Sus scrofa: one gene and its partner. The protein of the gene in region 1 interacts with the protein of each later gene in a biochemical or structural test. Links are inferred from orthologs where the notes say so. Each region holds a gene or a part of one and is shown in the gene's direction. Other genes may lie near its edges.

Region 1 (4,430 bases):
AAAAGTGTACAATTACGTTGCCTTCTTTTCTTCCAGTGGTAAACGTACACAGCTTTGTAAAAAAAAAAAAAAAAATCAGGTTAAATGAAAGAGTGAATTAGCCAACAAAGATGGAAGTGCAGCAAAGAAACAAAAATGGTAAAGATGGAAGAGACATGAAATATGAATGGAATATAACTGGAGTTATTAAAAAAATAGGCAACTGTGGGAATGCTGACATTGCCACCTTTCCAGTGACTCTGGACATGCTGCCAGAGGAATGTACCAAACGAAAGCTTGAATGAGGACAGTGGACTGTGACAGAAAGGATGATGATGTCCCAGAGGACATAAGGCTAAAGGAACTCTAATATACTCTACCACAGTGATCACCCAGAGGATAAAATCTTGAAAGTGATCCAAACATGACTCTTTGCCAAGACACAGAAAACAGGCTCTGTGGGTATATAACAACTCTTCTAGGAAAAGACAAGCACCCTTTATGTTACTCGTTACTTTTTTGTTGCAAGAAATAAAACACTTTGGAGTTCCCCTGTGGCTCAGAGGTAAGGAACCTGACTAGTATCCATGAAGATGCTGCTTGCATCCCTGGCCTCCATCAGTGAGTTAAGGATTCCACGTTGAGCTATAGTGTAGGTGACAGACGCAGCTCTTGGCCTAGGATTGCTATGCTGTGGCATTGGCCAGCAGCTACAGCTCCAATTTGACCCCTAGCCTAGGAACTTCCATATGCCTTACGTGTGGCCCTAAAAAGACAAGAAAAGGAATAAAACACTTCAGTTCTCAACGTTTGCACTGTTTTACAGTACAACAAATGATTCGCTTTGCTATTTTCCCATTTCTCTATACACTTATAACCACCAGTGAAGAGTTAGGAATGTTTGGACAAAATGTTTCAAGGTCGGTGTAACAGTCTTCATTTTTTCCCGTCGACTCTTTTTAAGATAGTTTTGCACGGTTCAGGGTTGTTTCCACAGTTGGTCTGCCTGCCAGAGAGGACCGACATATATACACATATTATACATACAAACAGCATGTGTATGTGCGTGCATTTTACAGACACACAACACGTGCACACACTTTGGGTGGAGCACATAAATGATGGTGTCAAGTAGTAATTATAAAAAAAAAAATTTTTTTTTCTCCTCTGGAAGATTGTGGTTGGGATTTTGTGGGAGTGAACGCGCTGTGCGACCGGAGGACGCTGGGGCGGCGCGGGGTTGGAGGGGCGGCCTCGCCCGCAGTTGGGAGCCGGCGGCACAGAGGCGGGCGCGGGCTCGCGGGCGGGTGTGAAGCGCCGCGCGGCGCGGGGCTGGAGCTGGGTGGGTAGGGGAGGAAGGGGGCGGCGGCCACGCACGGCGGCGGGAGCGGAGACCACGCACGCACGCGGGAACGGGAGCCCGGACGCGCACGGCCGGCACGCAGGCGGCGGCGGCGGCGGCGGTGGAAGCGGAGCCTGGCGGCGGAGCGGGGCGGCGGATGGCCCAGGGCTGACCTATGCGGCGCCTGGAGGGGCTGTGTCTGCGGCGCCGGCGGCGGCGGCGAGGCCCTGGCCGCGAGCGGAGCGGGGACAAGATGAAGTACCAGAAATACCTGACGGTGCTGCAGATGGCCATCGGCGTCACGCCGTCCAACCGCGGCAGCCTCCTGCCGCTCAAGAGGAAGCTGTGGTGAGGGCCGCGGGGCGCGGGGTGCGCGGACCAGGGTCGGGGAAGGGGGTGGGGGGACGGGGGCGGGGCGCGTTCACGACCCTCGCCTGGACTACCGTGAGTGTGCAGCCGACGGCGGGGCGGGTCCCCGGGTCTCCGCCGCTGCGGGTTCTGGCTGAGAATCTCCAGCCGGGCTGACGCGGAGGCAGCGAACCGTGTATTATCAGCGAGCGCTTTCTGAGCTTTCTCAGAATCCATCCTCTGCCCGGTCCGCGGTCAAGGGCGCGCCGCTCCCTCGCTCGGGGCGTCAGTGGCGGGTCATTGTTGAGATTTCAGGGACTGTAATTTACTGCGGGCGGTCCAGTTCTTCCAACCTGGGAACTGCTGTTGGGGTGATGGGGAAGAATACCCCTAAGAAAGAAAATGTGGGGTTATCCATATCTGATGTTCATAGTTGATTATCTCTGATTGTGTTGCGTTTTATTAGCGTTTAAATATGCCCTGTGAAATCCCAGTGACTACCTAGGCATTCATTCCATCGACTTAGGACCTAGGTGTGAGGTTCTATAGCAAAAGGAGTGCTCAGGTAAGGGGATGGTGACTGTAGGGGGAAAAAAGGTGCCAGTGATCTTCGAGTTCAGGGGTCACTTCAAGTTTTTTTAAATTGTGGTTAATATGGTTCAGAGAGGTTTATTCGATTCCATTAAACATAGTCCAGTTTAATTTTAAGGTTATGGAGAAGGGATGTGAGGCCGCTTTTAGGCACTGGAGAAAAGTAAAATTTTTGCTATATAAGACAAAATGTAATAACGATCCAAAGAATATAAAGATCGATCAGCCAAGAAAAACAGAAGATTAAAAAAAAAAATCCCAGTAGTGCAAAGTTTTGGAGGAGAGACTGAAAAATATGGGCCTCGAAGTTCAAATTTCAGCCATGCCACACTTACTGTGTGACTTTAGACAATTGCTGGAGTATCTGTTTCTTCCTCTGTAACAGGAGAACGATGTTACCTATCTTTTGGGGTCATATGGAGATCAGAAGCCCTGGTAAATACAAAGTGCCTGCCTGCTTCTATGCCTGGCCAAATAGTAGGTGCCAAGTAAATGTTAGTGTCTTCCTCTCCCTGCCTCCCAGTTGTTTAAAAACAGAAATTTATTCTGCAGAAGGTATTTTAATTTGATGAACAGCAAGTGTCAACACATGGAAGACTAGGCTGATAAAAGTTGGCTGTAATTAAGAAATGTTCATGGAAGAGGGTTTTAGTAAATACATCAAAAATATGTCACGGGGAGTTCCTTGTGGTGAAGCAGGTTAAAGATCCAGTGTTGTCGCTGCTGTGGTGTGGGCTGGATCCCTGGCCCTGGCAATTTCCACATGACTCTAGTGCAGGGGAAAAAAAAGGATATGGTGATATTATGAAGTAAAAAGAAGTAACAATTGAAGATAACTTTTTAGATGAATGTTTACAGCAAAAACAGCAGAGGTCCACACCAACAGTCTTAATCCCCATCCACCTTTTCTTCTGAGCGCTGATCAGTATTGAACAAACTACATATTTTACTAAAGTTTTATGTAAGTCACTTCTCCCTCGCCCTAGAATGTAAGTTGCATGGGGCCAGGGCTTTTTGTCTGTTTTGTTTACTACTGAATTCCTTGCAGCTAGTGTCTAGTACAAAATCAGTTCTCAAAAGATGTGTATTGAATAAATGATTTTTTCCCCTTTTTTGTGGCACATGGGGTTCCTGGGCCAGAGATCAGATCCGAGCCACAACTGCGACAACCCCAGATCCTTTAACCCACTGTGCCAGGCTGGGGATTGAACCTGTGTCCTAGCCCAGAGATGCTGTCCATCCCTTTGTGCCACAGGAGGAATCCTAAATGAATGAATTCTTTTTTCTTTTTCTTTTTTGTCTATTTAGGGTGACACCTGTGGCATATGGAAGTTCCCAGGCTAGAGGTCGAATCATAGCTGTAGCTGCCAGCCTAAGCTACAGCTCATAGCAATGCCGGATCCTTAACCCACTGAATAAGGCCAGGGATCAAACCCGAATCCTGATGGATCCTAGTCAGGTTCCTTACTGCTGAGCCACGATGGGAACTCCTAAATGAATTCTTAATAATATGTAACTGGGAAAGAAAGTTAAGGAAAATTTTTTGATGTTACATCTAAAAACCAAGATATGGAGATAATGTTCGAGGAGCTGTTAGGTATGAATATTAGCAGCAATTGGTCCCAAGGTCAAGAAAGCAGGTTTATTCTTTTTGATCACTGGAGGGCGGTTTTCACAACTGCTTTCCCCAATAAAGAGTTTGTGAAGAGAACACAAAGAACATCTTTCCTCTAGAGAGTCACGTTCAAGGCAGGCAGTGACTGGGGCTAGCATTAAAAAACGTCTTAAAAAGAGGCAGCCTGGAAAGAGCAGGAGGATTTTGTTGTGCTTTTCCACAATCTTAAATGAGCATTCAGAATTTCCACTCAATATTAAGTAGATTTGCAGATGTTCATCTGGTTTTTCAAGGGGCAAAGTAAGGTGCGCGCACACTCTCCAGGGCTCTAGTATTTTTTGATGATTTGTGTATAGTCCTTTTTTAAGTTGGAGAATATGGATTCCTTACATCTTCTGGAATGTATTTTCTAGATGACATTTCATTTTGCCACTGTCCTAGCAACTGCACACGGAGAATTTGAGATGGACAGCACCACTCTGTGGCTGGAGGATATGCGGATATGGGTCTGACTCCAGCGTGATGGGTGGAAACCCAGAGCAGAGCACCAAGATG
Region 2 (2,992 bases), on another chromosome or scaffold:
GAGTAAAATGAAAGAGACATCTTGAAGAGGGTAAAATGGAATAGCCAGATTGTGGAAAAAGTAGTGGGGTCGGAGGGTCTTCCAATAGCTGGAGAGAAGGATGACCCTTAATGTGTCGAAACTTGGTAAGAGTGGCAGGGGCTGGGGGGATGCTCACTGAACCCTGCAAAATCCCGAACAGCTCTGAGATGCTAAAGGCTGCCTCTTGCAAAGCCCTCTATTCTAGAGCAGTTATCTTTTCCTCTGTCTGTCCTGGTGCCCCTAACAGAGAGCTTAGGGAATGTCAGAACTCCCTCCAGGCCCTGGAACAATCTTTGCTCCTGAATCCTCCCACGTCACCTAAAAGGCCTAGGGATGGTGGGCCACCTCTGAGGAGGGTGGGCAAGAATTGTCGGGGTGGGAGTTCCTGTCGTGGCTCAGCAGTTAACCAAACTGACTGGTATTCATGAGGATGCGGGTTCGATCCCCGGCCTCGCTCAGTGGGTTAAGGATCCGGTGTTGCCGTGAGCTGTGGTGTAGGTGGCAAATGCGGCTCAGATCTGGCATTGCTGTGGCTGTGGTGTAGGCTGGAGGCTACAGCTCCGATGAGACCCCCTAGCCTGGGAACCTCCATATGCCGCGGGAGCAGCCCTAAAAAGACAAAAAAAGAAAACAAAAGAAAAGAAATCTGCGTGTGTTATACAGACAGGAGACCTCAGGCTAGCCTGTGGAGGAGGATTTGGGCAGGGCTGGGAAGACTTGAACTCTGAGACAGTGGACTGAAGGCTTTGTTGCCTGTCCCAACCTGCCCCAACCCTTTCATCATGGACAGGTTGACTCGGGCCTACATCATTGCTCTCTAGGCCTTTGGAGATTCGAGAGGTCTCTCACAAGCTGGAGTTCACGGCTCTATCTTGGGGCCTCTTCCTCCCACTCCAGTTTCCTGGAGTTTGGCCCCAGTGTGCAATTGAGGGGCCCTGTGGCACTGTTGCCGGGCAATGCGTTAAACAGTAGGCCTGGGAGACAGAACCGTGCCAGCCGACAGCCTGACCCGGAGTTAAACACAGTCCCCACGACCAACGCTGCCATCACCAGCTTCTCGGAAAGCAGCCACCCGTCTGGCCGCTGGCTTTGTCTGGCTGCCAAACTAATGCATGTGCCTACGCAGGAGGCGACGACATTTTGGCTCCACTTTCAAAGTTTTTTTTTTTTTTTCTTTCTCGTGTGTTATTTCTAAAGATAACAAAGGTCAAAAGGCATCCAGCATTTTCTGGTTTCTCATAAGCTTCTGGTCAATATTTAATCTGGTTTATGGATTTTTTTTTTTTTTTTAGGTCTTCTGGATGCCTTCTTGAGCCTGCTCGTGGCCACCCACAGACACTTGTAAGGAGGCGAGAGGTCGGCCTGGCGGAGACACTGTGCAATGAGGGATTAGAGGCCAGGATCCAAGGAGCAAGTGCTACAGCCGGGAGACGAGGGAACGGGCCCTGAAGACGCATCTACGGAGAGGTCGGCCATGGCCTCTCTCGGCCTCCAACTTGTAGGCTACATCCTGGGCCTTCTGGGGCTCTTGGGCACCCTGGTTGCCATGCTGCTCCCCAGCTGGCGAACGAGTTCTTACGTCGGGGCCAGCATCGTGACGGCAGTCGGCTTCTCCAAGGGCCTCTGGATGGAGTGTGCCACGCACAGCACTGGCATCACCCAGTGTGACATCTACAGCACCATGCTGGGCCTGCCTGCTGACATCCAGGCTGCCCAGGCCATGATGGTGACATCTAGCGCCATCTCCTCGTTGGCCTGTATCATCACCGTGGTGGGCATGCGGTGCACCGTCTTCTGCCAGAACTCTCGCGCCAAAGACAGAGTGGCGGTGGTGGGTGGAGTCTTCTTCCTCCTTGGAGGCCTCCTGGGCTTCATCCCCGTTGCGTGGAATCTTCATGGGATCCTGCGGGACTTCTACTCCCCCCTGGTGCCTGACAGCATGAAATTTGAGATCGGAGAGGCTCTCTACTTGGGCATCATTTCCTCCCTGTTCTCCCTGATAGCTGGGATCATCCTCTGCTTTTCCTGCCCACTGCAAGGAAATCGCTCCAACTACTACGATGCCTATCAGGCCCAGCCCCTCGCCACCCGGAGCTCTCCGAGGCCTGGTCAACCACCCAAAGCCAAGAGTGAGTTTAACTCCTACAGCCTGACAGGGTATGTGTGAAGACCCAGGGGCCAGCGCTGGCGGTTGGGGGGGGCTGGGTCTGTGAGAGCCAGTGGACAGCCTTCCCCCAGGGCCACAGGTGAGGGACATTGCCACTGGATTGCGCCAGAAGGTGCTGCTGAGGATAGACTGACTTTGGCCACTGGATCAAGCAAGGGCAGAAACGGGAGCTGCTGTGACAGCGTGCAGGTTGAACTGTCAAGATGCTTGCCAAGCCAGATTTTCGGTTCCCTTCATCTTGGCGCCCCGTTCCTCCCACCTTGAATCCCCAACTCTCCACTCTAAACCCACCCCCCACCCTAGGCCAGGCCCCAGAGGCGCCCCTCAGTCCTCTGGTTTACCTGAAACTCCAACCCCAAACCCACCAATCGCATCCCAGTGACTGACCTTCTCTGTGATCGAAGACCCTTCCTCTTGCTCGGGTTGGTTCTCAGCTCATTGCTGGGGGGTGGGGGTGGGAAGGAGACACGGTGGCTTCTATGGCCATCTGGCGCTAAGCTCCATCCCAAGCCTCCCTCCAAAGGAACTGATTGGCTAGTAAGTAATGGGCCCGGGAGCCTCCATCCCTCTCTTGTTATAACTCCACAGTGTCTGGACTGGTTTGTGTGTGACCTGAAATAAAGCCATCCCACAGTCCCAAGGGAACAGAGAACCAGTGGGTGTAGGATGAGAGGGAGGAGGGGGACCAAAAAAGACCAGAATCGCTGCCCAGGGAAAGCACAAGGAAAGAAGACATGGTGGAACGTTCAAGGTGGCAGCAGACACTGACTGTCCTGAGGAACTCCCTCCGAAGCTACTTCAGCT

Evidence for each region.
Region 2: the proteins of TJP1 (region 1) and CLDN2 form a complex in vitro, tested with the Homo sapiens proteins (2 studies listed by BioGRID and IntAct, with this or other methods). The link is inferred for Sus scrofa from reciprocal best matches to the Homo sapiens genes TJP1 and CLDN2.

The regions. Positions count from the first base shown.
Region 1 is NC_010443.5:145,192,857-145,197,286, reverse strand, and holds the start of TJP1 (tight junction protein ZO-1), read left to right. Parts: upstream 1-1,429; 5' UTR 1,430-1,496; coding exon 1,497-1,669; intron 1,670-4,430. UniProt on the Homo sapiens protein: TJP1, TJP2, and TJP3 are closely related scaffolding proteins that link tight junction (TJ) transmembrane proteins such as claudins, junctional adhesion molecules, and occludin to the actin cytoskeleton.
Region 2 is NC_010461.5:87,351,609-87,354,600, forward strand, and holds CLDN2 (claudin-2), read left to right. Parts: upstream 1-1,360; 5' UTR 1,361-1,495; coding exon 1,496-2,188; 3' UTR 2,189-2,314; downstream 2,315-2,992. UniProt on the Homo sapiens protein: Forms paracellular channels: polymerizes in tight junction strands with cation- and water-selective channels through the strands, conveying epithelial permeability in a process known as paracellular tight junction permeability.